2 linked regions of the Anolis sagrei genome follow. The protein of the gene in region 1 binds, or shares a complex with, the protein of each later gene. Links are inferred from orthologs where the notes say so. Each region holds a gene or a part of one and is shown in the gene's direction. Other genes may lie near its edges.

Region 1 (15,742 bases):
TATAACACAACCCACGAGGTACAAACATATCTACTCAAAATGAAAAACAACACAACAACACACTCACAAAACAGCAAAACAACAAAACTCAAAAAAACCCCAACGAAACTTAACCAAAATTCCCATGCCCATAACACAACCCACAAGGTACAAACATATCTACTCAAAATGAAAAACAACACAACAACACACTCACGCAACCCCACTCCCCCGCCGCCGCACACACACAGGCAACCCCATGCTCCATCACTCCCTCTGCCGTCGCACACACACACGCAACCCTACGCGCCATCACTCACCCCGCCACCGCACACACACACGCAACCCCATGCTCCATCACTCCCCCCGCCGCCGCACACACATACACAACCCCACGGTCCATCACTCCCCCCACCGCCACACACACACATGCAACCCCACTCCCCCCGCCGCCGCACACACACATGCAGCCCCACACTCCATCACTCCCTCCGCCGCCGCACACACACAATCCTAAGCTCCATCACTCCCCTGCCCCAATCTTACCTCCTTTTACTTCACGCCACCTCCAAACCCCACCCCGCCCCTTCCTGCCCTGTCAAAATCCAGGAAAGACAGGAAGGAAAGAAGGAAGAAAGAGAAAGGGAGGTAAAGAAAAAGGGGGAAGGAAGGAAAGTTAGAGAAAGAAGGAAGAAGACAAAGAAGGCAAAACACACTCACAAAATGGCAAAACAACTGAGCATGCGCATTGGCGCCCAGCCACAAGTTTCCTGGCGCGCGCACACAGTCTTCCGGCCAACGTTCCCTCTGCGGAAGCCATGCCCACTCCAAGCCTCGCCGCGCCGCTTCCCGCACACACACACCCTCTGCCGCACGCACATACACAACCCCACACTCCATCACTCCCCCCGCCGCCGCACACACACGCAACCCCACGCTCCATCACTCCCCCCGCCGCCGCACACACACACGCAACCCCACGCTCCATCACTCCCCCCGCCGCCGCACACACACACGCAACCCCACGCTCCATCACTCCCCCCGCCGCCGCACACACACACGCAACCCCACGCTCCATCACTCCCCCCGCCACCGCACACACACACGCAACCCTACGCGCCATCACTCGCCCCGCCGCCGCACACACACACGCAACCCCACGCTACATCACTCCCCCCGCCGCCACACACACATACACAACCCCTCTCTCCATCACTCCCCCCACCGCCGCACACACACATGCAACCCCACTCCCCCCGCTGCCGCACACACACAACCCTACGCTCCATCACTCCCCTGCCCCAATCTTACCTCCTTTTACTTCACACCACCTCCAAACCCCGCCCCGCCCCTTCCCGCCCTGTCAAAATCCAGGAAAGACAGGAAGGAAGGAAAGAAGGAAGAAAGAGAAAGGGAGGTAAAGAAAAAGGGGGAAGGAAGGAAAGTTAGAGAAAGAAGGAAGAAGAAAAGGAAAGAAAAGGAAAGATGGAAGGAAAGGAAAGAGAGACAGCAGAAGAGAAAGAAAAAGGGGGAAGGAAGGAAAGAGGTAGAGAAGGAAGAAATGAGAGACGGAGGGAAAGAAAAGGGGGAAGGAAGGAAGGAGAGAAGGAAAGAAAAAAGGGAATGAAGGAGGGAAAGAGGGAGTGAAGGAAGGGGGAAGATGTAGAGAAAGAGGGAGGGAAGGAAAGAAGGAAAGAGAGAAGGAAGAAAAGAGACCAAAAGGGAAAGAAAAAGGGGGAAGGAAGGAAGGAAGGAAGGAAGGAAGGAAGGAAGGAAGGAAGGAGAGAAGGAAAGAAAAAAGGGAATGAAGGAGCCAGAATGGATGTCCAAAGAACTTCTAACTGTGCTAAGACACAAAAGAGACATGCACAAGAAGTGGAAAAAGGGAGAAATCACCAAAGAAGAATTCAAACAAATAGCCAACACCTGTAGGGAAAAGGTCCACAAGGCTAAAGCACAAAACGAGCTCAGGCTTGCCAGGGACATTAAAAACAATAAAAAGGGCTTCTATTCTTATGTCAGTAGAAAAAGGAAAAACAAGGAGGCGATAGGACCTCTTCGCGGAGAAGATGGGGCAATGCTGACAGGGGATAGGGAAAAGGCAGAACTACTTAATGCCTTCTTTGCCTCGGTCTTCTCACAAAAAGAGAGTCTTCAACCTCAGCAAGATGGAGTGGATGAGGGATTGGAGGACATCCAACCCCAAATTGGGAAAGAAGTCGTCCAGGAATACCTGGCCGCTCTTAATGAGTTCAAGTCCCCAGGGCCAGATCAACTACACCCCAGAGTATTGAAGGAACTAGCGGAAGTCATTTCGGAACCATTGGCAACCATCTTTGAGAGTTCTTGGAGAACGGGAGAAGTTCCAGCAGATTGGAGGAGGGCCAATGTGGTCCCAATCTTCAAGAAGGGAAAAAAGGATGACCCAAACAACTACCGTCCGGTCAGCCTCACGTCGATACCGGGCAAGATTCTGGAAAAGATTGTTAAGGAAGCGGTCTGCAAACAGAAACAAATGCAGTCATCGCTAATAGTCAACATGGATTTATCAAAAACAAGTCATGCCAGGCTAATCTGATCTCTTTCTTCGATAGAGCTACAAGCTGGGTAGATGCGGGGAATGCCGTGGATGTAGCGTACCTGGATTTCAGTAAGGCCTTCGACAAGGTCCCCTATGACCTTCTGGCAAGGAAACTAGTCCAATGTGGGCTAGGCAAAACTACGGTGAGGTGGATCTGTAATTGGTTAAGTGGACGAACACAGAGAGTGCTCACTAATGCTTCCTCTTCATCTTGGAAAGAAGTGACGAGTGGAGTGCCGCAGGGTTCCGTCCTGGGCCCGGTCCTGTTCAACATATTTATTAATGACTTAGATGAAGGGCTAGAAGGCATGATCATCAAGTTTGCAGACAACACCAAATTGGGAGGGATAGCCAATAGTCCAGAGGACAGGAGCAGAATTCAAAACGATCTTGACAGATTAGAGATGGGCCAAAACTAACAAAATGAAGTTCAACAGTGACAAATGCAAGATACTCCACTTTGGCAGAAAAAATGAAATGCAAAGATACAGAATGGGGGACGCCTGGCTCGAGAGCAGTACGTGTGAAAAAGATCTTGGAGTCCTCGTGGACAACAAGTTAAACATGAGCCAACAATGTGATGTGGCGGCAAAAAAAGCCAATGGGATTTTGGCCTGCATCAATAGGAGCATAGTGTCTAGATCTAAGGAAGTAATGCTACCCCTCTATTCTGCTTTGGTAAGACCACATCTGGAATATTGTGTCCAATTCTGGGCACCACAATTCAAGAGAGATATTGACAAGCTGGAATGTGTCCAGAGGAGGGCGACTAAAATGATCAAGGGTCTGGAGAACAAACCCTATGAGGAGCGGCTTAAGGAGCTGGGCATGTTTAGCCTGAAGAAGAGAAGGCTGAGAGGAGATATGATAGCCATGTATAAATATGTGAGAGGAAGCCACAGGGAGGAGGGAGCAAGCTTGTTTTCTGCTTCCTTGGAGACTAGGACGCGGAGCAATGGCTTCAAACTACAAGAGAGGAGATTCCATCTGAACATGAGGAAGAACTTCCTGACTGTGAGAGCCGTTCAGCAGTGGAACTCTCTGCCCCGGAGTGTGGTGGAGGCTCCTTCTTTGGAAGCTTTTAAGCAGAGGCTGGATGGCCTTCTGTCAGGGGTGATTTGAATGCAATATTCCTGCTTCTTGGCAGGGGGTTGGACTGGATGGCCCATGAGGTCTCTTCCAACTCTTTGATTCTATGATTCTATGATTCTAAGGAAGGAAAGAGGGAGTGAAGGAAGGGGGAAGATGTAGAGAAAGAGGGAGGGAAGGAAGGAAGGAAAGAGAGAAGGAAGAAAAGAGACAAAAAGAGAAAGAAAAAGGGGGAAGGAAGGAAAGAGATAGAGAAGGAAGAGGAGAAGGAAAGATGGGAGGGAGGGAGGGAGGGAGGGAAGGAAAGAGGGAGGGAGGGAGGGAGGGAGGGAGGGAGGGAGGGAAAGAGGGAAGGTTGGCCACAGCAACACGTGGCGGGTAAAGGTTGTTATTTCTGTTATTATTATTATTATTATTATTATTATTATTATTATTATTATGCTATTATTCCTATTAGACCCTGGAGGAATGGGAGAGGTGTCAGGTCCCAGAGGCAATGCATTGCATTATTGTTATGGTTATGATGGTGGTAAAATAAAAGGAAATAAAAAGTGAAAGAAGGAAGCAAACAGGGAGGGGAGAAAGGCAAAGGAAGAAAGGGGGAGGGAATGAAGGAAAGAGAGAAGGATGAAACCAAGTAGTGAAAGAAGGAAAGAAAGAAAGAGGTAGAGAAGGAAGAAAGGAGAGAAGGGGGGAGGAAAAGGGGGAAGGAATAGGTAGGTACCTCTCTTTCATAATAGTCCAGATATCTACCTCAACTTTGATAAGTTTTACTATAGGCCACAGCAACGCGTGGCAGGGCACAGCTAGTTGTTATATAATTTAAATTAAAAATAAGTAAACAATAAAAGAACAATTATGTTAAACGAGTATAAAACATAAACTGCGAATTAAATAATAATATAAAACAATACTAATAATACTACTAATAATATTTATTTATTTATTTATTTATATTCTGCTCTATCTCCCCAGATGGATTCAGGGCAGATTTTCCAAACATAAAAGGCAAACATTCAATGCCCGAATACAACAACAATACATCCATACTAACAAAATTTAAACAACCCAACATATAAACATGGATTATGACTTAACAACTAAAATTAAATTTAAAAACTCAGCCTGTTATAACAGACATAAGACACACCGGCCCTCTCCTCCATACCTGCATTAAACACTAGGTCCAATCTGTGTCCAGCTAAATGTGTGGGTCAAGATATAATTTGGGACAGCCCCATGGTTGTCATAGCGGACAAGAAGTCCTTCGTCCTTTCTTTTAAACAATATGCCACATTTTTAGAACTATTTATTTATTTATTTATGACATTTATATGCCGCCCTTCTCATATATATCACACACAATATATTACATTATATTATTAGCATAGTACAATAGCAATATTATATATTACTATATTGTACTATACCATTATATTGTATTATTATTATTATTATTATTACATGTAATATAAAATATATAATTATAATATCATATTATTAGTAGTAGTACATTGTATTACATTATAATATTATAAATATTATATGTCTATACAATATATTACATTATATTATATTCTTAGCATAGCACAGGAGACAAGGAAGAACTGAACAAGAACTATACTGACTTCAAAAACCAGTTAGAGTATAATTATTATTATTATTATTATATTTATTTATACCCCACTTTATCTCTCCCAAAGGGGACTCAAAGCAGCTTAACATAAAACATTAGCATACTAGTCCAACTTATGGCAACCCTGTTACATGGTTTTCTTGGCAAGTTTTATTCAGAAGTAGCTTGCCATTAGCATCTGCTAAGGCTGAAGGAATGTGAACTGCCAATTGTCACCCAGTTTGTTGAAACCATGCCTCCAACAGCCCTACACTCAAACCACAATACTATGCTGGCTGTCTCCAAAGAGTTGGATGGTACTGCTATTTGAAAATAATTAGAATTTCCCATTACTAGTTTGCTGAAAGGATGGAAGTGCATTTTCCCAGGTACAGATAAAATACAAAGGATTAGACAGAATTCACCAGATAATTAAATTGCTTAGCTGGTATAGGAAACAGGATCTGGATCATGAAGTTGCTGTAACTTTTGTGTCTGATTTCTTAAGGGAATCTAGTATCAGTGTGATGGCATTTAAGACATACACACAACCATTCCTCCACAGATACACCTCATGACTTTTGAAAATACCAGGCACATTTGAAAAGAACCCACTCCACCTCTTCCTCTTGAAGGCTAATGAAGTAATAGTTTGTACTTTTCCCATTGTGCTATTAAGAACAGCAAAAATTACACAAAAGTCACTGTGCCTAAAGCAAGACAAAATGATCTTTCACAACCCTTACGTAATGCCAGTTTATATAAGAAAGTGATTGGTGTGTTAGCACTACAAATTCTAGCTCAACTGAATTACACAAGAACATTTGAGAAGTGAAATTGCATTGTTCGTCAACGTAGTCCTTGTCCAGTTGCATCTAGAAGCAATATGTTACATATTGGTAACTGTGCATATCTTGAACCTATACAAAATTTAGGCAAATTCTTTGCTTCTCCTTTCCATAATTTGGGGTAAAGGTACAAATAGTTCAATGTTTCTGACTCATTATGTATAATCACTCTAGGTGTCTCTCTCCATCTGGGCACATTGTGACTGCATTTGTTCACACTTCCTTCTAATGACAGCACAGACGAGAAACAGCCCAGAGACTATAGGCTGTCACACATAATTTGGCAACAACTATAGCATCTGTTTCATAAATATACTTCTAAACATGGTTCTACAAAAAAAAATCCACTAACCCCTGTGTCATCACATTGTTATCAGAAATCCAGCCCTTTTACAAGAGCACTGTTATTAAATTTGTAATCAAAGTAATTCCATTCTGTCCTTGCAAATAGTTCAACGTTCTGAAACTGATTAAGAACATCCCACAGATAGAATGCTTCTACACAGACACTATAATGCAGTTTAGAGATGGATTAAAATAAACCTGCTTCGCTGTCCAATGTCTACCCAAAAAACCCAGAGACCAATTCCCAGGCTGGGATGGTGCCCACAGTGTCTGCTGATTGCAGATTGGAACTGAACCCAGGGATGTTATTTTTCCTTAACCAGTCTGCTGAGATGTGCAGGTGCATATATCAATATTCCATTACCTCTGTAGCTCCTTCCCATGTTCTACTATGGGACAGATCCCTCTGGAATGAAATACTTCTCATATTGAAAAGACAACACAGTTGATCCCACCGCTGCTGTTGCATGTCATCTGGCCCCATCTCTGAATGCCTATGTGCTGAACATGGGAGCTAGCAGCAAGGAACAGCGGCATCGGCTTTTCCATGCTTAGCATTCCATATCAGCCAGAACCCTTTATTTATTTACTTATTTATTTTTTTACAGTATTTGTATCCTGCTCTTCTCACCCCAAAGGTGAGAAGTCCCGAAGTCCCAAAGGGGACTCAGAGTGGCCTTACAAAGGCAACAATTTGATGTCATATCAGCAACAAATATAAAATAAACACACAGACTAAAACATAAATTTGAGAGCTATATAAAAATTAAAAACATTATTAAAACCATGCAATCCGAGATCATGGGTTTTTTTAAAAAGCTGTTCTAGTTGTGATTGCACATTTCCCATCTTATTTCACGGCACTATTGACCAAAGGCTAGGTCCCAGAGCCATGTTTTAACTTGCTTTCTGAAGGTCAGGAGGGAGGGAGCTGATCTGATTTCACTGGGGAGGGAGCTCCACAGCTGAGGGGCCACCACTGAGAAGGCCCTGTCCCTCATCCCCACCAACTATACCTGCGAAGGAGGTAGGACCAAGAGCAGGGCCTCCCCAAACAATCTTAACCTATGAGTTGGTTCATAAAGGGAGCTACGTTTAGACAGGTAAGTTGGGCCAGAACTGTTTAGGGCTTTATAAGCTAAAACCAGCACTTTGAATTGTGCTCAGTAGCAGACAGGCAGCCAGTGAGCTGACATAACAGGGAAGTGGCTTGCCCTCTGTAATTGTGATTAGAGTTCCAGCTTTCCCCAAAAGCAGACTTATATAGAAAGGCTCACAACTTGGTTGATTTTACTGAGATATGGACATCAGGGGGTGAGGAGTCCAAGACTTTTGCCAAGATTTGTTTGGGGGGAGGGATGCCAGTGCCTTCCCCTGAGGCTTGTGTGACTTGCCCGTTAGTTTTCATGGCTAGAGGGAAACCCACTAGCCATGTCGAAGGCTTTCATTGCCAAAGTCACTGGGTTGTTGCAGGTTTTTTGGGCTATATGGCCCGAAAGGAGAGAATACTTATAGAACTTGGCCATACAGCCCAAAAAACCTACAACAACCCACATATAGAGTCTAACATTCAAATACAACAATAGTTCAAACCACTCAGACCCTCACTTGTCGACTCCAACCACACACTCAAGCTGTCCAACACCAAAGTGGGTTACAATAGTATTCTCATTGTATTGGTAAGGTGAGCAGGGCTGGTCCTTTGGCCCACCTTACTATACCAGGCATGGGCAAACTTCGGCCCTCCAGGTGTTTTGGACTTCAATTTTGGCTGTTAGGAATGGTGGGAGTTGAAGTCCAAAACACCTGGAGGGCCGAAGTTTGCCCATGCATGTATTATGCAATGGATATGGGAGAATGCTTTTTCATTTGGCTTTCTGACAATGTAGCACATCCACTCAGAGGAAGAATCCAAATGAATGTGCCAAAGCTCCCCAAAAGTGCAAAGCCCCCCCTTTCCTCCTTAAACACGAGTGAAAAGTCCATTGTGCGGAGCTGCAAAACTCTGAAGCAGCAGCCGCTCTTCTTAGAATCATAGAGTTGGAAGAGACCTCGTGGACCATCCAGTCCAACCCCCTGCCAAGAAGCAGGAACATTGCAGTCAAAGCAACCCCAACAGATGGCCATCCAGCCTCTGTTTAAAAGCCTCCAAAGAAAGAGCCTCTACCATACTCTGGGGCAGAGAGTTCCACTGCTGAACAGCTCTCACAGTCAGGAGGTTCTTCCTAATGTTCAGATGGAATCTCCTTTCTTCTGGTTTGAAGCCATTGCTCCACTTTCTAGTCTCCAGGGCAGAAGAAAACAAGCTTCCTCCCCCCCCCCCCCCCCCATGACTTCCCCTCACATATTTATGCATGGCTATCATGTCTTCTCTCAACCTTCTCTTCTTCAGGCTAAAAATGTCCTGAAGCCGCTCCTCATAGGGCTTGTTCTCCAGACCCTTGATCATTTTAGTAGCTCTCCTCTGGACACATTACAGCTTGTCAACATCTCCCTTCAACTGTGGTGCCCAGAATTGGACAAAGTATTCCAGGTGTGGTCTAACCAAAGCGGAATAGAGGGTAACATGACTTCTCTGGATCTAGACACTAGACTTCTATTGATGCAGGCCAAAATCCCATTGGCTTTTTTGGTTGCCGCATGACATTGTTGGCTCATGTTTAACTTGTCCACGAGGACCCCAATATATTTTTCACAGGTAGTGCTCTCGAGCCATGCGCCCCCCATTCTGTATCTTTGCATTTCATTTTTTTCTACCTAAGTAGAGTATCTTGCATTTGTCCTTGTTGAACTTCATTTTGTTAGTTTGGGAAGGAGAAGGGCGGCTTTGGGCGGCCCTGTGCTCCGCTTCAGCCCATTTGCGCACTCGAGAAAGGTCACCTCGGGAGTGGCGGTTTCCCACGCCTTCCTCTTAAGCGAAGCTAGGGTTTTAATGGGTCTCAGGCAAGGGAAGAGGAGGAGGAGAGGAGGAAGGAGGAGGAGGAGATTGGGTTGGAGGTTTTTCGGGCTATAGATGAAGGCCATTTCTTCCCGTGGCCTCAGAAAGCAGTAGATGAAAAGAGGCACGGCAGTCGGCAGACCCAAGGGCGCCCAGGGCTTTCCCACGCACGAGGCGGCCCTTCAGGTTTGACCCCGGGGGCAAGAGGAGGTGGGAGGAGCAGAGCTCCAGCAAAAACGAGGCAGAGAGGGGGGCTCCTCTTCTTCCCCCTTTCTCATTCCCTCTCCGCTGCTGGAAGAAGCAGAGGTGCCCTGTCCTTTCGGGAGGCGAGGCTTTTTGCCGCCTTTTCCCTCAGCATCTCTCCCCTCCCCGCCTCCTCCGCCAAAGGCATCTCTCTCTCCGCCGGCGCGTGCGCGCGCACACTCTGTCTCGCGAAGAGTCTTTTGTCCGTCCATCCATCCAGTCGCCCACCCACCCACTCGCAGCGCGCGCTCTTCCCCCCAGCCTCGCGCGCCCAGAGGGGGCTCCTGATTGCGGGGAGGGAGGGAGGGAAAGCCAGGAAAGGTCCTCAGGTGCAGCTGGGGACGGTCACAGGCACGCGCCCCCAGGGCAGACCCGCGCGCGCACACACACACCCCCACACACACCGCCTCCCTCTCTCCCGGTGCATTGCATGCCCGGCCTCCTCCCTCTCCTCCTCTCCTCCTCTTCCCCTCCGCGCCGTGCTCCTCAGTCTCCCACCATGACCTTGGCTTTCTGTGGCACCGAGAACAACTCGTCCGCCTACAAGGTGGACGACGGGGTGCTCAACAACGGCTGCTTCGTGGACGCGCTCAACGTGGTGCCTCACGTCTTCCTCCTCTTCATCACCTTCCCCATCCTCTTCATAGGTAGGTCAGCCTGGGGAGGACGGGCGGGGGCAGGAGGACGACGAGGAGGAGGAGGGCTTCTGCTCCACCAGGAGCGCCCCCAAAAGCCTAGGCAGAGGCACCGCAGGCAGCTTCAACCTCTTTCTTTCCTCCTCTCATCGCGCTGCCCCTCTCCTTCTCCATCTCTCCCTCCATCTCTTCTCTCTCTCTCTTTAAGTCACCAAATTCAGCAGCTCAGTGGTTTAACCTGCTGCATCACTGAGGGCTCCTCCAAATGATAAGAGCATTGTTGTTATTATTATTATTATTAGTGTTTCTATCCCGCTTATCTCTCTGAAAAGAGAGTGATAATCTCTCAAAACAGTTGGAAGAGACCTCGTGGACCATCCTGTCAGACCCCCTGCTAAGAAGCTGGAAAATCACATTCAAATCACCCTCAACAGATGGCCATCCAGCCTGTTTAAAAGCCTCCAAAGATGGCGCCTCCACCACACTGTGGGGCAGAGAGTTCCACTGCTGAACAGCTCTCACCCATAAGAAGTACTTCCTCGTGTTTAGCTGGAATCTTCTTTAATTTAACACCTAAAATCCCATGCAAATATTGTAATAGGATTAAACCTTGAAACTATTCAATTGAAATCATTAAAAATCTAATCCCATATCTGAAACACCTCTTTCACCCGCTCTCCTTCACTTTCTCTCTCTCTCTCTTTCCTTCTCTGACTTTCCAGTTGGGTGCCATCTCTTCCCAGCCTTGGCAGGAATGAAAGGGGGGCATTCCACTTTGTCCCAGGTGCTGTGCCTGTGTCAGTAATAAGTGAAGGTTCATGCACACCAAATCAGGAAGAAATGTTCATGATGGGGATTAGAAGTGGGTTAAATTGGTATGATAAATTCTCAGTTCTAAGAAGGTACAAAGGCATTCACATCAAAGGAAAGGACCAGTGGTGCTGATACTGTGCTTCATGTCTAAGGACAATTCTGAAGACCCACATACAGCAAACCAGGGTGGGGAAATGCACACTTTGGACATTATGAATGGGGATGATAAATTCTCAGTTGTATGAAGGTACAACAAAGTCATTTAAATCAAAGGAAGTAGGCAGCTTTGTTCTCCATGTCTACATTTGTCATGTGCTAACATTTCAATGTTTCTCTGACTTGGAATAATAATGCTGTATGGTTGTCTTGATAATAACCCCCCATTTCCATTCTGAGCATCATTGCAGCCATTCAGGAAAAGTACAGAGATTCACACTTGCTTGAAGGAAGCTGACCTGCTTTTTTCTGCAGCTCCCAGGCAAAAGGGAGGAGAGAGAGAGAGAGAGAGAGAGAGAGAGAGAGAGAGAGCATGCTCAAAATAAAAGCCTGCACAGCCCAAACGCATCAAGGCATCTTCTCTCCATTATTTTAAAAGGCCCTTACATGGGAATTTAAGCTGCATTGAACTGGATCACAAAGAAATTTATTCAAAGAAAGCCAAATTATAGTTACAGCTCATCTGTCAGATTTTGTTAAATAAAAAGGATATATACCTCTTATAAGAGGAAATGGAGTCACATAAGGTTATGGTGACTTATTTGAGTGGATATGGTAAATAAGGAAATATAATGTTTTTCTCAAGCAAGGAAAACAACTGAATATATGCCTTCCCATACCTATTTATTTATTTGTTTGTTTACCATATTTATATCCTGTCCTTCTTAATCCCGAAGAGGACTCAAGGTGACTTTACAGATAGGCAATTATTTGATGCCTTGACACAATGTACAATTAAAATAAACATTGAAATTAAAACACATTAAATACCTAATGAGATCTCACACTATGTAGGCACTTTTTCTATTGATTTATTCTATTGATGTTTTACACTACTAATATGTAACAGTGGTTGCCCAATCGAATATGTGAACCATTAAAAGACTAAATTAAATAGTTTGCATCTGACTTCTAGGCCACAGATTCCATAATATCAGAAATGTGTTTATTTGTTTATTACTACTCAAGGCTTCTCTTTTCATAGCAAAGCATTGGAAGGGCTATATATAAAGCATCAATTCAGCACATCTCTTTGGAATGGATTACTTTTCTTAGAACCAAAGAAAGTTTATTAATAATTATGATCACTTGATAGTTTAGGACATGGCATAATACTGTATATGACTATGTGAAGCACTTAAGATAATATGAACTTGTTCCTTTTCTTTCATTGATATTGTGATAAATGTGTGGGATTTGCACAACCCATCAACTAGATATGTCCATGATATGACTAATAATGTGTGATATTACCATAGTTACTCCCACCATCTCTTCCTATATCTTGCTTTCAAATAGCTGTAAATATGTATTAACTGTATTTCCTTGTTCCATTTTCTGTCTGCAATAATTAGTTTTTACCTTATAAAAACATCCCTGTTCTACTTTGGGACACACAAGACACAGGGTGAATAGGTATGGCTCTCTCACACCTTAGCCAGGGCTATTCCTGTCACATATATTATTTGGGGATATAAAATTCTGTCTATATATCTAAGTGTGTTGTTAGTGGCGCAGTCGGTTAAACCCCTGCGCCGGCTGAAGTCTGACAGGTCGCAGGTTCAAATCCGAGGAGAGCGCTCCAGCTCCCCATGTGGGGACATGAGAGAAGACTCCCACAAGGATGGTAAAACATCAAAACATCCTGGCATCCCCTGGGCAACGTCCTTGCAGATGGCCAATTTTCTCACACCAGAAGTTATTTGTAGTTTCTCAAGTCACCCCTGATACGAAAAAAGTGTGTTGTTGTTGTTGTTGTTGTTGTTAGTAGTAGTAGTAGTAGTAGTAGTAGTCTTAATACCCTGCTTTTCCTTTGCCAAAGGAAACTTAAGTGGCTAAAATTAAAAACCATAACAATCTTTGAATTAAAATCTTGTTCCCTGGAGACTAGGATACAGAATAATTGCTTCAAATTACAGGAAAGGAGATTCCACCTGAACATTAGGAAGAACTTCCTAATTGTAAGAGCTGTTCAGCAGTGGAACTCTCTGCCCAAAGAGTGGTCAAGGCTCCTTCTTTGGAGGCTTTTCAACAGAGGCTGGATGGCGTTTTGAATGTCATTTTCCTTCTTCTTGTCAGGGGGTTGGACTGGATGGCTCACGTGTTCGCTTCCAAATCTAGGATACTATGAAAACCTAACACATATAAACATTCAATAGAATTAAACATAGAAATATTAAACATATATTGTTAAAAATAATAAAACTATTAAACAACTCTACGTAGCACTTATATTTTAACTGAAGAAAATTCAAGGCAGGAATACCATTTCATTAAAATCAATATTTGCTTCAGGTTTGGGGTATATATAATTCCTCTACCACACAATTTAGCATCATAAATTGGTAGCTGTTCATTTCTGTCAATGGGGTGGTGAAACTGCTTTTGGTTTTAGTCTGAACGGTAGTCTTAACCAACTTTGGGAATTCCCACTGACATGAAAACCAGCAGCCAACACTAAAACTCAGTAAAATAAAGTAACCAAGATTACCCTGCTAAATTTATGATTTAGTATCAATAAAGTGATGAGTTTTTATTATACTAGCCATAGGCCATGACATCAAATAATATATAACTTTTAAAAGTATAATATGCACTTTCCAATATAAACATAAAACTTATTCTATAAACTAGCTCTTTCAAATTACAGTAGCAATGACAATCCCCGTGGGCATGATAACAAAATCTAATTTGAATTATCCCAAACTGTTTCTATTTCCATTTCTGGCCTCCGCTGTGGACTTTAATTTGAACATGCCCTTGCATATTATAAACTAACATTCTAATGCATACAAATTGAAAGGAATATGGGATGCAGTTTGAGTGGAAACGTGCTCCTTCCATATTCACTGGAATACTGTTTGTCAGCCATGTAGATATCAAAACTATATTGGGTCAAAGTATTCAGAATGTCCTATCTCTGATTTAATACGTATTATCTTAAAGCCTAAATATTCAGAATGTTTGATCCTGTGTCACGTACCTCTTAATACGATGGTGTTTTATAGTATCACTGCCAAAATTGCTTTCTAACAATGTATTTATCACCACTGCCTTTCTTTGTTCCTGTTTCATAAGACAAAATAAAAACCCCAATATTTTTGTTTCAGTTCAGAATAGACAGGAATGGTTTTTGCATTGTCTGCACCAATACTGCAAGATAACTGTGGTTATTTGTTTTGTTACATTTAGGATGGGGAAGTCAAAGCTCCAAAGTTCATATCCATCACAGCACATGGCTTCATTTTCCTGGACATAATTTACGATGGATTTTAACCTTCATCCTTTTATTTGTGTTGGTGTGTGAAATAGCAGAGGGCATAGTGTCAGATGGGTAAGTATATACATCGATCAACTCTCTCTAACATCATCTGAGTTTGTAATACCGACATTAGCAAGTTGTTGAGTATACTTTCCTTTACTTGTTAAAAATGCAATGTGTTTGTGATGATTAACCTACTGACCTTGAGTCAGACATTCCAAATGACTTGCCAAGAATGTGTATGTAGAAATACTCAGATGCTCTCGCTTATTTTTAGTTAGCCAATTGGCTCTAACTTGTTTGCCAAGGGTGTTGTGAGCTTTTCCTTCTCTGCGTTTCCTATGTCTGTAAAGGCCCAGAAGGAGAAGAAAAGCTCCTACATGACATGGCTGAAAGTCAACCTAAACTTACAATATATTAGCTTCTTCCCCAAAATGTGTTACAGAGTCCTTAAATATATGCATTTTGAATTTCTAATAATTTTCAACCAATATAAAATAACCTGTAGACTTCAAATGATGTTCCGGTGTTCTTAAAATTATAACAATTACCAGCTGGTTTTCTTTTAGTGCTTAAATAGATCTGGAATAACAAACACTACTTCAGGTTTTATTCTTTATCCTGTTATTTGTAATATGGAAAAGGAGCAAGCGACTGTATATAGTCACTGAAAAGGACTCACTGGTTTTTTGGTTTCTTTCCATTGATCAATTAGATCCACTGTACTAACTCAGGTATGGGAACTGGTGTGTTTGAGAGAAATGAAGAGAATGACAGATGCTACACAAATATAATTAGATCCTCCACCTGGAGAAAGTCAACATATGCACATTCCTTTGTGTGTTGATCAGCATCTCTCTTCAGATGAATATATATCTTCTTGTAAGCATAAAAACAAACATGGCACTCTCAAACATTGTATTTGTGACTAATATTTGTTCTCTTTTACTTAGTTTTTCTGACTCCCGTCATTTGCACCTTTACATGCCACCTGGAATGGCATTCCTTGCAGCCATCACATCAATTGTCTATTATCACAATATTGAAACATCAAATTTCCCAAAATTATTAATAGGTATGTACTGAAATCCTGAAGACTATGTATTAAAATATATTGCTCTTGGGTTCAGATTGAATAGGTCTTAACAATATTTCACTATGAAGTTCCTAATATGGAG
Region 2 (16,545 bases), about 99 kb from region 1:
TAAATCCTTAAGTGACCCTACATTATTGTTGCCTTCTTCAATTCTTTCTACAAAGCCTGTAACACTGTCTTTGCATGATTCACTTTTAAAGTAACAATTTCTGTACGTTTCCTTTTACAAACATGTTCCATTTCTGATTTTCAGATTGGAATATGTGGCCGAACAGGAAGTGGAAAATCATCTTTTTCTCTTGCCTTTTTCAGAATGGTTGACACTTTTGAAGGTGGGTCTGTACCTGTCCACAACAGGCTATACCTTGAAGCAAGACAAAGGCCCTCTATGTCTATTTTTGTAGCCCTCCAGATTCCCCCTTTTTTTGAGGCAAAAAAGTGAATTGTATGTCTTGGAAGACACCAAAAATTCACATTGAAGGTTCCCCTGCTCACTGTTTAGCTTTTTAAAAAACCTAATTTTCAAAACTAGAAATTATGCTTACAACAGGTTGATGGAGTTGTTTAGTTTTGAGAACTTTAGCAGTTTTTTCAGCCCTTGCAGGGTTCCAGGAAGGAAAAATTGCCCCCTAAACACATTGTATTATCTTTTTCTGTTGTACTAATGACTTCTGATGAATGGGAAACCCAAACTTGCAATTAAATAGGAAGGAAACCAACAGTCAGACAACCAGATAATGAGAACAACAACCTTTATGAATCTTTTACCTTTACTGATTTGGAAATGGCTCTCAATAAATGTAAAAATGGGAAAGCAGCTGGTCTGGATGATCTACAGATAGAACAAATTAAGAACGTTGTCCCGAAAGCAAGGTGCTGGCTGCTGAAGCTGATGAACTACTGCATTGCATTCTGTCAGATTCCCAAACTCTGGAGGAAAGCAAGAGTCAAAGCCATCTTGAAACCAGGCAAAGACCGTAATGATCCAAAAAGCTATAGATCAATCTCCTTGTTGTGCCATCTTTATAAAGTTCTGGAGAAACTTATTTTGCATATGACTACGGCAAAAATGCACCAGTAAGCTGGTTTCAGGAAAGGGAAAAGCTTCACATCACAACTGTTGAACCTGAGTCAGCACATAGATGATGGTTTTGAAAGGCAACAGATTATAGGAGCTGTCTTCATAGACCTGTCAGCAGCATATGATACCGTAAACCGCTGCCTTCTCATGAGAAAAAATTATAATATCACAAAGGACTACCACCTCACCCACTTCATAGGAAATCTGCTACAAAACAGGAGCTTCTTTGTTAAGTTCCAGAGTCAGAAAAGCTGATGGCAAAACAGAAAAATGGCCTGCTCCATCAGTGTTCAACATTTACACAAATGACCAGCCACTGCCAGAAGGGACAGAGAGTTTCATCTATGCTGACAATTGTGCCATCACCTTTCAAGCAGGGAACTTTGAAATGGTTGAACAGAAGGTCTCCAAAGTTTTAGGTGCACTAACTATTTATTTCAGGGAAAACCAGCTGATTCCTAATCAATCTAAAATGCAGACATGCACTTTCCATCTTAAGAACAGACAAGCATCTTGAGCTCTGGGGATTACCTGGGAAGGAATCCCGCTGGAGCATTGCAGCACACCCAAATATCTGGGAGTTACTCTGGACCGTGTTCTGACTTACAAGAAGCACTGCTTGAATATCAAGCAAAAAGTGGGTGCTAGAAATAATATGATACGAAAGCTGACTGGCACCGTGTCACAACCAGACACAGTGAAGGCATCTTCTCTTGCACTTTGCTACTCTGTGGCTGAATATGCATGCCCAGTGTGGAATACATCTCACCACGTTAAAACAGTGGATGTGGCTCTTAATGAGACATACCACATCATCACAGGATGCCTATACCCAACACTGCTGGAGAAATTATACTGTTTAGTCAGTATTGCACCAACTGACATCCATCAGGAAGTAGTAGCCAGTAATGAAAGGGCCAAAGCATTGACATCTCCAGCACATCATCTGTTCAGATATCAGCCAGCATGCCAACGTCTTAAACCAAGAAATAGTTTTCTAAGATCTACAGAGATACTTGCAGGAACATCTCAGCTATCAAGAGTCCTAAAGTGGCAGGTTAAAACCTGGAACCTCAATCAGTGGCTGAGACCAGATGAGGAACACCCCCTGGGCACACAGAAAACTGGGCAACTTAGAAGGCACTGAACAGACTGTGCTCTGGCACCACAAGATGTAGAGCCAACCTTAAGAAATGAGGCTACCAAGTGGAATCCACGACATGCAAGTGTGGAGAAGAGCAAACCACAGACCACCTACTACAATGCAGTTTGAGCCATGCCACATGCACAATGGAAGACTTTCTTACAGCGACATCAGAGGCTCTTGAAGTAGCCAACTTCTGGTCAAAGGAAATTAAGTATAATACCAAGTTTTTAACTTTGTTTGTGAGTTTTAATACATTATAATTGTATTCTCAATTTGCTTCTGACATTAAAAACAAATATTAGAGCAGCATCTCCCATATTCATATTACTTGTACTGGGATTGTTCTAGGTTTTGTGGTGTTCAATTTGAGGCAGCTATCCTGGGAATTTGAAATGTTTTTAAAGAAGGTTTCTGATTCCTTTTTGTTGTAACTATGACATTATGCAGGGTTTCTTAATGTGTGGATTTTCAGGAAATGTAAAAAGACCTCGAAGCATAATACAACTAAATTTAGATAGATCTAAACTGTATTGTTTGAAACTGCAAAACACTAAGCTTGAGCTTATTGCTGCCAATGAATTCATTAAGACTTTAATTTGTTCTGGGTTTGATTAAATTATTCACTAGTTTATACTGGACTACCTTCAGCTCTCCAAATGAAATTAGCATCCTGCATTTAGTTACATAAGTTCGGTTTATTTTAATAACATCTCAGCATTGTTAATTCAATACAACAGTACAATTTGCCCTTGGTATCTGATGGCGTTTGGTTGTAGGACTTGGTTACCAAAATCTGTGGATGCTCGGGTTCTGTCATATACAATTGCATTGTAACATTGTATTCCTTATATCAAATGACAAAATAAAAGTTTGCCTTTTGGAATTTTTTAATATGTTCAAATTGTAGGTATGGATAGCTAACTATATATTCTAGTTTTATCTATTTATTCAGTTGCAGTGGAATAAAGAATACTTTCAATCACTGTGTGAAATAACATATTCCTTTCTGACTTTCTGCTTATGAAATATACTTTACATTCAGTGTAATGTAATTTAATTAGAAAAATATGCCATATGCAGAAGAATGTAATCACTATATGTTTTGTTTTAAAATGACAACAGGAAGGATCATTATAGATGGCATAGACATTGCCAAGCTTCCCTTACAAACACTGAGATCCAGACTGTCAATTATTCTTCAAGACCCTATTTTGTTCAGCGGCACAATCCGGTAAGTGTTATCATGCCAACCTTAGAAAGAAACCTAGTTTGGTCTCTATGGCCTGGTTTCACAGTTTGGACAGAAATTGTTGCCACAAAATCATCACTTCACACTATCTCTCCCAACAGAAAAAAAGAAATATTATTTATAAGAAAAGTCTAAAATTCCCATTAATTCTTATTTGGGAGTTGATTTAAATCTTCTCTGGATCCAAAAATCAGAATTAACTGAAAAGGAGCTAATAATAATAATATGTCAGAAGTGACTTGAGAAACTGCAAGTTGCTTCTGTTGTGAGAGAATTGGCTGTCTGTAAAGACGTTTCGATCTTGTACTGTAAACTGCAACCAGACACATGCAGTTCACAAAAAGTTAACCATTTTGATAATGTTTGGCTATATTTTTACCCCTTAGGTTTAACCTGGATCCAGAAAAGAAATGTACAGACAGCATGTTGTGGGAAGCTTTGGAAATAGCACAGCTGAAGCATGTGGTGAAAGCTTTACCTGGAGGCTTAGGTAATATATCCTTCATTTGTACAGATACCCAATGTTAAAAGCATACCCTGTTGTATTTTAGGCTGTGTAATTCAACTTTACAGAGAGTTAACAGTATCATTTAATGGACAGTTCATTTAGAGAACTTTGATTATGGAGCAATATAGAAAAGCTAAACATATACAAGCATATGGACAATTTCAACAGAAAGGAGGGAACTATGAAAATGAACAAAAAATACCAGTATTTTTAAAAACTCTAAAATTGGGACAGTAAATAAAGAGGAACAAACAATAGGGGAAATCCTGACATGAAACAATCAGGGCCAGCTAACACCTCCCAACAAAGATTCCCCAAGGCAGGAAGCAGCCAGACTTTGAAGCTGCAAGGCAATTCAATGCTAATCAAGGTGGCCAATTGCAGCATTCACGCTTGCCTCTAGCAGACAAGAGTTCTTTCTCCCACCCTGCACATTCCACATATAGATAAACTCCACTTGCCTAGTTTCCAATAGACCTCAGAACCTCTGAGGATGCCTACCAGGAGGGAATGCTTCTGGAACATGGCCATACAGCCCGGAAAACTCACAGTAACCTGATGCATACTTAGTTGGCTGAAAAGGAATGGGATGGGAGCAAGCATGTTCTCTCACACCACAGTCCTCTTCAATGACAGAAAATGGGAAGTGAAAATTGATATAATCAAGAATATATACATTAATTTTCTAAATGATTTTGCTTTAACTAGATGCTACAATCACCGAAGGAGGAGAGAATTTCAGCCAAGGACAAAGACAGCTGTTCTGCTTAGCCAGAGCATTTGTACGGAAGACAAGTATCTTCATCATGGATGAAGCCACAGCATCAATTGATATGGCAACAGTGAGTCAGTAGATTGAATATTGTTTACAAAGGATAAAACTGTGGAACCCCTGAGTTGGAAGATTTATCATCCATGTGTAATTATGATATGTTAATTAATAAAAATATTTTTTTGCCTACTATTTAGGAAAATATTCTTCAGAAAGTTGTAATGACTGCATTTGCTGATCGTACTGTGGTGACAATTGCTGTAAGTTTTGGTTTGGTTTTTGCTATTGTGAAGCCATGTATTTATAACATAATAGTACTTCGGGCAAATCACATTCTCTCAGCCTCGATGGAAAACAATGACAAACCCTCTGAACAAATTTGCAAAGAAAACCCTTGGATAGGTTCACCTTAGGGCTGACAGAAATAAAAAATGACATGAAGGCACACAACAACAATACAGCCTTTCTTCTTTTATTCTTGATTTTAAAAGAATATCTAATTAAAACAAAAAATTCCTTCCATTTTCAACAGATATAAAAAATAGATATGGGATAAATAATGACTGGCCACAGATAACTCATGATAAGAGAGAACCTTTCTCTTTAAAAATGACCAGAATCCTGTTGGAAATTTGTATATAAAATGCTGTAGTTAAGGTGCTCCTAGTTATGGCCCTGGTGGTGCAGTGGGTTAAACCACTGAGCTGCTGAACTTGCTGCCTGAAAGACTGGTGGTTCAACTTTGGGGAACGGGGTGAGCTCCCTTTGTTAGGCCCAGCTTCTGCCAACCTAGCAGTTTGAAAACATGCAAATGTGAGATCAATAGGTACCATTGCTGCAGGAAGGTAATGGCGCTCCATGCAGTCATGCTGTCCACATGATCTTCGAGGTGTCTACAGACAACGCCAACTCTTTGGCTTAGAAATGGAGATGAGCACCACCTCGCAGAGTCAGACGCAACTAGACTTAATGTCAGGGGAAATCTTTACCTTTACTTATGGTGCTCCTATCTCAGTCTCCCAAATCTCCACTTCCTGGGAAGCAGCCACTGTTGATTACTGAAAGTCTCTTCCTTTGTCAATCAAAAAATTGCTGGCTAATGTTTCTTCTCCCTGTAGTGCAACAGCCAGAACTAAGGTCCCTATTACAATTCACCCTTGGACAAAGATAGGTTCTGCAAGGAGGGAGTGGGACCATCGACCAAATGCTTCATGATCAACAGATGAGTGGACCCATTAATCCCAGCAGGGGATTAATCCCAGTAAATGGAGGATGGGGGGTTTTCACAACCCTTACATAGGGATGATGAATACAAAACAGTTGTGAGTGTGTTGATGTAAGTTTTGCATGTGTGGCTGCCTAACAGGATTAAAGCCAATACTGGGGCAATGCACTTTCAATTGTGTCTCAAAATAAATGGGAAGATATAGCATATGGAACAAAATCAGAGAAATAGGATTGTTCACCAGATTAGAATAATCTTATCTATATGATAATCTACATTATGGTGATGTTGCACATTAACAAGAGTTACCTAAATGTATTTCTGTCAAACATGATTTAATAAGTAACTAGAATTATTCCCATGTCTTTTGTTTTCCAGCACCGAGTACACACTATTCTTAATGCAGATATGGTGATTGTAATGAAGAGAGGAGTCATTCTGGAATACGACAAGCCAGAGGTCTTGCTGGAGCAAGAAGGGAGTGTCTTTGCTTCTTTTGTCCAAGCAGACAAGTAAATGCAAATAATTAAATCTTTGACATTTCAATTTTATTATCCATTTTCTAATCATGTAAAATAATTGTAAATAAAAATATTGATTATTTAATAATAAAAGGCCTAGTGTCTTCCTTCATTAGAAATGAAATGTGTTTTGCCTGTTTGTCAATTAATCTTTTAAAGCAAATTTCCTAGTTAATCATAAGAAATTATTTACTTCACTAGTTTATTTATTTATTTACCCTATATTACCCCAAGGGGCCTCAAGGTGGCTTTACACATAGGCAAATATCTAATGCCTTAAAACAACACTAAATTAACTAATTACTATGCTAAATTTTAGTAAGAAAAATGTTTTATATAGTATATATTTACTGCAATATATATGGCAATAAATACATTTTAAATGTTTACTTTTCAACTCTGAGTATATAAATAGCATATAAATAGTTGAAAAATAACTCAAATAATTTGCCATTTGGTTAAATATACTACATATCCAGTAGTCCATAAACATTAAAAGAAATAAAGGAACCATATACAAAATAAAGGAACCATATTTGTAATTCCTAAATGTTCAGATTGTGGAAGAGTGTGAGATTTTAGGAATCTGCTGCATTCTTCCTTCATCTCTGTCATACTAAATTCAACTCCAATTTTATCTCATAACTGAGTCTGTGGTATGTCATAGCTGATGCTTTTTAGCTGTATAGATCATACCTCAAAATTCTGCAATTAAATACTTCTGGAAACCTGTGAATTTAAAAACAAAAATATACCAAATAGATTACTCTGCAGGGTAGAACAAACATTCAACTAAACAGTTTTACCACAATTTGACATATCATTTTCCTTGGTTTTGATGCACACACATCATTGAGACCATGGATGCTTTCACAGGGCTTAAAGTAGTTCATAACAGAAGTGCAGTGGATAAACCTAATTGCAATAGAAGCTATTTTCAAACATTTTGCTGCTCTAAATCAGCAAAATGTTTTCTACTTTCTACTCAAGTCTAGTTTCAAAATGCATGAAAATACAGTTCATGAATATTTCTAAGGTTGCAATTTCTGTTCTGGTATGCTTATGTTGGTGCACATTTTTCTTACTAAGACTTTCCTTTAAAAGGTTGTGCAGGGCAAGTTTGCAATTCACATGAACAGCAAATCAGAACAGCATTTATGTAAAGAGAGGGAAGAGGAACAGTCTGTATAAAGATGAATTATATGCCAATTTTGTGTAAGTGAGAAAGAGCAAAAATGTGAAGGCAAGAGAGAAAAAATAAAGATAAATGAATTTAAAACAGCTATTATAAGAGAAATATTGGGCACATGGATACAAGTTCATAAAAGACAAATGGATCTTAATGTGAGCTTTTATGAAAGTGAACATAACTGTAGAAATCTGCTCTTGGGCGCATAAAATGCTTCCAGGTATTTCACTATACAAAAGGATTCTTTACCATATAAAATATTGCTTTTTGGTGTTTTTAAATTTTTATACATGATTAAAGCTATTATTTGCTACTGTTATGCCAAAGCAATAGGGAGTGGAAGTAGTTTGTGTGCCACAGAAGAAGAGACTGATGTAGTTTTCATATTTTATGTTGGTAAGGTGCATTTGCATCTGTATGGACTCTTTCTGGGTGGCAAGGCACTGACAAAGGAGGTCTCCTGTGTAAGACAGAGTGCCTCACAAACCAGAAAATGGTTGCATGTAAAGTTCTGACTGGAGGACAAGAGAGAGAGCAGGTCTAGCAAAGGCCAATTGCTCAGATAGAGCCACCAGTGGTGCAATGGGTTAAACCCTTGACTGAAGACGGAAGACTGAAGGTTCGAATCTAAGGAAAGCATGGATGAGCTCCCTCTGTCAGCTCCAGCTCCCCATGTGGGAACATGAAAGAAGCCTTCCACAAGGATAGTAAAACATCCAGGCATCTCCTGGGCAGTGTCCTTGCAAACGGCCAATTCTCTCACACCAGAAGCAACTTGCAGTTTCTCAGGGCATTCCTGACATGAAAAAAATTGCTTGGATGCACCAATTAAAACATCAAGAGAAGCTATGTAAATGGCTGAACAAAAGCAATAGCTGCCTGCACATTATCATTCCCCCCCTCCCCACTTTGGGCAGAGCAACAATGGGAGAATCCATATCCCATCAGGTCTGGCTCATGTAAGTGGGGCACTTTTAATCTAGTCTTTAAAGGAGTAGGCCAATACAGCACAGTGTTGTGCTTTGAGCCTTGGACTCAGTCATGAGCAAGTCACACACTCTCAGCCTCAGGAGAAGGCAAAGGCAAAATTCCTCTGAACAAATATTGCTTCCCCCCCCCCCCCCATTGTATTAGGGTCACCATAGATCAGAAATAATTTGGAGATACACAACCATCTCACATTATAGATTCAGCACCATAGACAGCTCCTTTGAAGATTGGCCTAAGTGTTCTGCATAAGATGTTATCTACTACTAACCAGTGAGCTTAACAACTATTACAGCCCAGAAGACATGCATTTATTTATTCAAGCAGATTCAATGACAATACTACTGGTGAGCCAAGTTTTTTTGGAGTCATACTGCGAGCGACTGAAGGTATCACCCACAGCCTGTGTTACTGCTGCTCTGGGTGCTGCAGAGGCAAGCGAGTGCCCATGCTGATCTTGAAAGCTCAAGGTTCTGGTACCTGAAGTACCAGCTGTGCCAGTACCACCCTGTTCATTTCTTGAGGTACTCTTTGGACACCCTTCCAGCCCCTTTTCCTCCAGCAATATGAGATAAGGCAAGTAGCCATTGGAGACTAGAACTATATCTGCACATTATTTGATACCATTCTTTGGAGAAGTTCTCAACCTTTCTAATGCCATGACCCCTAAATACAGTTCCTGATGTTGTGGTGACCCCCAACACTAAAATTATTTTCGTTGCTAATTCATAATTGTAATTTTGCTATCAAACTTGGCACACAGAACACCCACATCCAACAGAAAATACTGGAAGGGATTTATTGCTCCTGCAGTCATTCCAGGAGACTATTATTATATATTATTATTATTACAGTAGAGTCTCGCTTATCCAACCTTTGCTCATCCAACATTCTGTATTATCCAATGCAGTTTGCCTCCCACCTGAATCCACAGCTTTTTCAATACATTGCTATGTTTTGATGCTAAATTCGTAAATACAGTAATGACTACATAACATTGCCATGTATTGAACTGCTTTTTCTGTCGATTTTTTGTAAAACATGTTTTGGTGCTTAATTTGTAAAATTATAATGTAATTTGATATTTAATTTGATATAATAAGTTTTTCCTTAATCCCTCCTTATTATCCAACATTTTCACTTATCCAATGTTCTGCTGGCCCATTTTTGTTGGATAAGCAAGACTCTACTGTATAAAACTCAGTTGGAAGGAACCCCCAAAGGCCATCTAGTCCAGCCCCTTTCTTTCTCCCAGGCAGGAAGATAGAATTATTATTCTATTATTACACATTATTATTATAAATTATTATTATAATTAAACTCAAACAGTTGGAAGGGACCTCCAAAGGCTATCTAGTCAACAACAATAATACTAATATTAATAGTAAGTCAAGCTTATGGCAGGTTCTCCCATCCTTTCTGCTCCATATAATAATACTACTACTTTCAGGCCAGAAGGCAGGACAAGGCTGAGTGGATTGAAGTCACAGGAGGGCACATTTGGGCTGAACATCAGAAGGGGGGCGGGGGGGGAGAGAGAGCGCAAGAGAGAACGCGAGAGAGAGAGAGAGAGCGCGAGAGAGAGAGCGCGAGAGAACGAGAGCGGGGGCGCAAGAGACAGAACGAGCGCGCACGAGAGAGCGCGCCCGCATGAGAGAGAGAGAGAGCAAGCGAGAGCGCGCAAGAGAGAGAGAGAAAATGACAGAGAGAGCGCGAGAGAGCGTGCAAGAGTGCGAGAGAGAGAGCGGGAGCGAGAGAGCGAAAAAGAGAGAGCTCTCCTCCTCCTCCTCCTCCTCCTCCTCCTCCACCTGGCGCGTCCGCTGTGCTGTGGGGGCTTCCCTTGCGCCACAGCGCCCCCTGCCGACACCTCGAAGCAGCGCTGCGGCGCCCGGCCCAATGCGCGCCTAGGTGCCGAGCCGCCCCCGCTGACCGCTCTCCTCCTCCTCCTCCTCCTCCTCCTCGCGTGGGTCAGCCCCAGGCCGGCGCAGAGGCGATTGGCGTGGGCAGCTGGGCAGGAGGAGGAAGAGGAGGAAAGGGGCGAGGGGAGAGGCAGGCGGGCGGGCGGGCGGGGTGGCGCGGACCCGCCTGGCGGCTTCCCCTCCTTGGCCGGCCTGGCGCTGGGTGTGCGTGGGCGGCCGGGGCTGCGGGTCCGCGTGGGTGCGCGGCCATGCTGTCCAGGAAGGGCATCCTCCCGGAGGAGTACGTGCTGACCCGGCTGGTGGAGGCGGTGCCGGAGCATGCCCGCTACCGGGCTCGGGAGCGGCGGGCCCGCTTCGTGGGCAAGAACGGGTCGTGTAACGTGGCCCACAAGAACATCCGCGAGCAGGGCCGCTTCCTGCAGGACGTCTTCACCACCCTGGTGGACCTCAAGTGGTCGCACACGCTGCTCATCTTCACCCTCTCCTTCCTGTGCAGCTGGCTGCTCTTCGCCATGATCTGGTGGCTCCTGGCCTTCGCCCACGGGGACCTGGACCACAGCACCAGCACGGGAGGGGGAGGCGACCCTGGGGACGGCTTCGTGCCCTGCGTGACCCAGCTGCACTCCTTCACCTCCGCCTTCCTCTTCTCCATCGAGGTGCAGGTGACCATCGGCTTCGGGGGCCGCATGGCCACGGAGGAGTGTCCCGCCGCCATCCTGGTCCTCATCGTGCAGAACATCTCGGGCCTGATCATCAACGCCATCATGCTGGGCTGCATCTTCATGAAGACGGCCCAGGCCCACCGGCGGGCCGAGACCCTGATCTTCAGCAAACACGCAGTGGTGGCTGTGCGTGGGGGGCGGCTCTGCTTCATGCTGCGGGTGGGCGACCTGCGCAAGAGCATGATCATCAGCGCCTCCATCCGCATGCAGGTGGTGCGCAAGACCACCAGCCCCGAGGGCGAGGTGGTGCCCCTCAACCAGGTGGACATCCAGCTGGAGAACCCCGTGGGTGGGAACAGCATCTTCCTGGTCTCCCCGCTCATCATCTGCCACACCATCGACTCCAGCAGCCCCCTCTACGACGTGGCCCCTGCCCAGCTCCACCACCACGAGGACCTGGAGGTCATCGTCATCTTGGAAGGGGTGGTGGAGACCACCGGCATCACCACCCAGGCCCGTACCTCCTACTTGGCTGATGAGATCCTCTGGGGCCACCGCTTCGTGCCCATCGTCACCGAGGAGGACGGGCAGTACTCTGTGGACTACTCTAAGTTTGGCAACACGGTGAAGGTGCCCACGCCCAACTGCACTGCCAGGCAGCTGGAGGAAGACAGCAGCATCATGAAGGCCGTGGTCTTGTCCCCAAAGGCCACTGTCAGGAAGAAGTCGGTGAGGTTGAAGCCCAAGTTTACCATCTCTGATGAACCCTCCTGATGCCCCTTTTGTTACTTGGTTGAGCTCTAGAACCTGACGCAGTAAACATGCTCAGAGAAAGTGCCGGATTTAGAACAAGTGGGGCTCTGCACTAGTTATGAGGCCCCTGACTTGGGCTCTGAAGAAGGTTGAACCGGTAGGCCTCCATTGCCTGCTCTGTGGCATACTCCCATAGACTATCATTATGTCTGGAATCGCTCCAAAATAGAACACCTTCAAATTTAGAATTGCATCACATAAGAAAAATCCATCATAAGATTTTGGGGCAGGAAGATGGGCCCCCTGGTCAACTGGGGGCCATACTTAAGCACAATGGTAAATCCGGCACTGTTCAGAGATTGCCTCTGTTTCTGTTATTCAGGTAGGTAAGGTACCTATTGTGCAAGACAGGCGTCTAAAACGACCTGAGCATCCAGAATCCCTTCCTTTTTGACTTGCAGGGTTATTTGCACAATCTCTTGAGGTGGAGAAACCATCCAAAACTGAAAGATGGCCCCTTTATTTATTTCTTCTTGTTGAGGACACATTTTCTATGTATTCTATGCTGTTATCTCTGCCTCAGCTTTGGAGAAACCAGACCTGACGTTTGGTTGTGTTGTTTTTTTAACTTCTATGCTTCCGGTGATGAAGGAAGCTCAGTTGGTTTAATAAGAAGGAAATCAGTCATTATTTTTTCTGACAACAAAGACTGTAGACACAAGGGTGCCTGTTTACGCTGCCATGCTTCATGTCTTAAGAAATGCACACATTTAAGTGAATGCATAAATAATGTTACAGCTTCTTTCAATGGAAGCAGGTTAGGAGGCAATAGAGTTTTGTGGGACACAGGAATCTTGTAATTTAGTTCGGTTGTCTCCCAGTTCTTGCTTTTTGTAGGAACTGGGAGAAGGAGGCAGCTCAAAATATGAGATGGCAGGGGTTTTGTGGGGGGGGGGGTTGACTTGAGAAACTGCAAGTCACTTCTGGTGTGAGAGAATTGGCCATCTGCAAGGATGTTGCCCAGGACACATCCGGGTGTTTTACCATCCTGTGGGAGACTTCTCTCATGTCCCCACATGAAAAGCTGTAACTGACAGCTGGGAGCTCACCCTGCTCCCCGGATTCGAACCTCCGACCTTTTGGCCAGCAGTCCTGAGGACACAAGGTTTCAAAACGGGTTTATATTGTGCCACCATGACCCTCTGCATGTCCTTCCTCTAACACTACTTTAAACTTTGTTGTGTTTTCACAGGGCCACCTCCAGTGAGATTTGGAGACACATTGTTTCTGGCCTTGTTCATAATAACTGAAATGCAAGATGGAAGCATTCACATCCATCACATTTAACTATTAAAATGGGTGTTGATTCTTTATTTATTAAAACTTGGCCTGTCTTTGATCCCCAAGATTCTTTCCACACTTTTAAAATGGGAAATGTCATTTGAACACCCCCCCCCCCTCCACAAAACCGGGTTGCTGTGGGTTTTCCAGGCTGTATGGCTATGTTCCTCAAGCATTGTCTCCTGACATTTTGCCCATATCTATGGCAGGCATCCTCAGAGGTTGAAGGGTCTGTTGGAAAGTAGGCAAGTGGGGTTTATTCATATATCTGGTAGTATCAAGGTGGTATTAAGGTGGTATCAAGGTAGCCAATTGCAGCATTCCTACTTGCCTCACAACCTCTGAGGATACCTACCATAGATGTGGGCGAAACGTCAGGAGAGAATGCTTCGGGGACGTACAGCCCAGAAAATTCACAGCAACCAGTGATTCTGGCCGTGAAAGCCTTCAACAACACCCCCCCCCCCTCACAATTAATCCATGAGAATGCTTCGATGTAAGTGGGATGTAAAGGATACATAGCAATGACACCTAACTAGCATTAGTCCAACAATATTTTCTAGCAAGTGCCACCTCCCATGAAAATTGGAGACATATTATTTCTGGCCTTGTCACAATAACAGAAATGTAAGACCGGAGCATTTCGTCCATCATACTTAACTACTACATTTGGTGACAATTGTTTTTTTATTTAAAAATAATAGGGCTGCCTTTTATTCCCCAAGTCACTTTTCAAACTTCTGAAATGGAAAATGTAATCCCTGTACAATTATGGGAATTTAAAAAATGTAAATGATACATAACAATAATACCTAACCAGTGTAATTACACTCCCCATACATAGCCTTTGAATCCAACAATACTTACAAGCAAGGAGCCAGAAGGGAAATAAACAACAAGCTCCTGACATTTTGCCTGGCTGTCACATGACCTCATCTGTCAAGTTGCAGTCATGCTTTTTAGTTTGATAGTCAACATAAGAGGGTGGTAGCTGCCCTGGACAGGGTGTTGGATTAAGACCGGAGACACCAGCAGCCAATCCCATGCATTGGGAGACCTGGGGCCCATCACATCCTCTCAACCTAACCTACCTCAAAGGGTTATCACAAAGGTTATAATAGGACAGCCTCCGGGATGGGAGAGCTATTTATCCTGCCTTGCAATGCAACAGAAATAACTGGTGATAACAAGGAATCTACTGTGGAACTTCTCTTTCCACATAATTGAACTGCTTTGATTGCCACATCTGGTTCAGTACTCAGACTTAGGGTGCATCTACACCAGGCTTGAACAAACTTGGGCCGTCCAGGTGTTTTGGACTTCAACTCCCACCATTCCTAACAGCCTCAGGTCCCTTCCTTTTTCCCCCTCAGCCGCTAAGCGGCTGAGGGGGAAAAGGAAGGGACCTGAGGCTGTTAGGAATAGTGGGAGTTGAAGTCCAAAACACCTGGACGGCCCAAGTTTTCCCATGCCTGATCTACACTATATAATTAATGCAGTGTGATGCCATTTAACTGCACAGGATTAATGCTATGGAATCATGAGGGTTGTAGTTTGGTGATGCACTGCACCTATTTGGAAGAGAAGACTAAATAACTTGTAAAACTACAACTCCTGTGATTCCATACCTTTAAGTCATGGCAATGTAACTACCTCATCACACTAGAGAATGAATCCACTTTAAATCCGGTTGCACCCTCCTGCAGAATTCTGAGGTTTATATTTTAGGGAGGAGCCTTCAACAACCTCACTAAACTACAAACCTCAGCATTCTGCAGGAGGCAGAAGCCAGATTTGAAGTGGATTTATTCTCTAGTGTGATAAAGTAGTAAGTCATACATTAATTCTACAGCATAGAAACACCCTTAGAAATGAATTAATTTAACCCAGTAGATGTAATCAAAGTGAGATGAACTTAATTATTTAATATATCACTATAGAAACCAGGCATGCATTAGGCAAAAAGGTATGTAACTATATTAAGGCAAACAATATAAGGATATGACTTGCAATTATGGAATTAAAGTCTTAATGCATGTTTAAAATGAGCATGTGTATGTTTTAATACATTTGCATGCTTCTTAAAATCTTTGTTACATGAATAAAGATGAGGTAGGCACACCAATAAGGCAATATGTTCTGCACCCTTTGCACAATATGAAACAGAAATAGTCTGTGGCATGGCATAAGAGTGAAAGAGTTTAATTTATATTGTGGCAATCCACAATTTTTTTTATTTAAAGCTGTATTTATTAAAAGTCAATAGTGCAACATTAATGCCTTGGATGAAGATCATGGCATGTAATGCAATGAAGGATAATTTTTGATATCTTACCTATCCAATTTGTTTGCAATTTTCTGTGCATTTTTCTACCAGGGGTGCAAGGGCTCTTTAATTTCCTATACAGTCCTATCAGTCTTTACATCTTGCCTCTTTCAATAATTGTTAAACTGTAAAATTGTCATATGAAATTGTTAATTTCAAATGAAAATGAATTGTTTTCACTTTCAAAGGTGCCTTATTCTGCCTTCTTACCAGAATGATTTTTGAATGGTGTCCTTACTGGTTGCTTCATCTCCAAGCCCGCAATTCAGAAACCAAGGGTGCATCTCTGTTGTAGAATTAATGCAGTTTGACATCACTTCAACTGTGATGGCTCAACACTACCAAATCATGAGAGTTGTAGTATGACCATGCCTGCCAAAAAGTCCTGGTGCCTCACAAAGCTACAAACCCTACGATTACAGTTGAAGTGTTGTCAAGCGCAGTAATTCTATAGAATAGATACTCCCTAAGGCCCCTTCCACACAGCTGAATAAAATCCCATTATCTGCTTTGAACTGGAATATATAGCAGTGTGGACTGAGATAACCCAGTTCAAAGCAGATATTATAGGATTTTCTGCCTTGATATTCTAGATTATATGGCTGGTGGAAGGGCCCTAAATCAGAGCACTTGGGCTTACAAAAACCTCTAAATCAGTGATTCCCAACCAGTGGTCCACAACAATGAAAATATGGTCTGCGGCCTCACCATTGCTACATTGTTGCCTCAAAACCAGGATAACTGGTTTCGCAAAACCCTCTTATAGTGTCAAGGCAACAGGGATGTCAGGAGGGATGAGGCTAACTACCCACAAAAGATTACTACTACCACATCAGCTCTAGATTATTAAATACGGGTTTGTCTGTGGGCGAGCAGATGGCGACTACTGGATGCATATGTTACGTATCATAAACTAGAGCTGATGTGGTCTACCCAATGCAATTTTATGAATCAGCACCCCAAATAACCAAACT

Evidence for each region.
Region 2: the proteins of ABCC8 (region 1) and KCNJ11 are in contact, whole or in part, in a cryo-EM structure (PDB 7S60), measured with the Homo sapiens proteins. The link is inferred for Anolis sagrei from reciprocal best matches to the Homo sapiens genes ABCC8 and KCNJ11. Residues at the interface, in NP_000343.2 of Homo sapiens: Phe5, Ser12, Ala13, Tyr15, Arg16, Val17, Val21, Asn24, Cys26, Phe27, Ala30, Val33, Val34, Val37, Phe41, Phe44, Ile46, Phe48, Ile49, Gly50, Trp51, Gly52, Ser53, Ser55, Lys57, Val58, His59, Ile60, His61, His62; in NP_000516.3 of Homo sapiens: Val44, Ala45, His46, Lys47, Asn48, Ile49, Arg50, Gln52, Gly53, Leu56, Val59, Thr62, Leu63, Lys67, His70, Leu73, Ile74, Met77, Cys81, Leu84, Leu85, Met88, Trp91, Leu92, Phe95, Ala96, His97, Gly98, Leu100, Ala101.

Annotation. Positions count from the first base shown.
Region 1 is NC_090021.1:248,041,103-248,056,844, forward strand, and holds the start of ABCC8 (ATP-binding cassette sub-family C member 8), read left to right. Parts: upstream 1-9,454; 5' UTR 9,455-10,068; coding exon 10,069-10,285; intron 10,286-14,494; coding exon 14,495-14,636; intron 14,637-15,517; coding exon 15,518-15,639; intron 15,640-15,742. UniProt on the Homo sapiens protein: Regulator subunit of pancreatic ATP-sensitive potassium channel (KATP), playing a major role in the regulation of insulin release.
Region 2 is NC_090021.1:248,140,095-248,156,639, forward strand, and holds KCNJ11 (ATP-sensitive inward rectifier potassium channel 11), read left to right. Parts: upstream 1-10,650; 5' UTR 10,651-10,737; coding exon 10,738-11,925; 3' UTR 11,926-14,632; downstream 14,633-16,545. Other genes in the region: ABCC8 (ATP-binding cassette sub-family C member 8), read left to right, coding at 145-223, 3,242-3,350, 3,755-3,858, 4,585-4,718, 4,846-4,908, 6,252-6,389. UniProt on the Homo sapiens protein: Inward rectifier potassium channel that forms the pore of ATP-sensitive potassium channels (KATP), regulating potassium permeability as a function of cytoplasmic ATP and ADP concentrations in many different cells.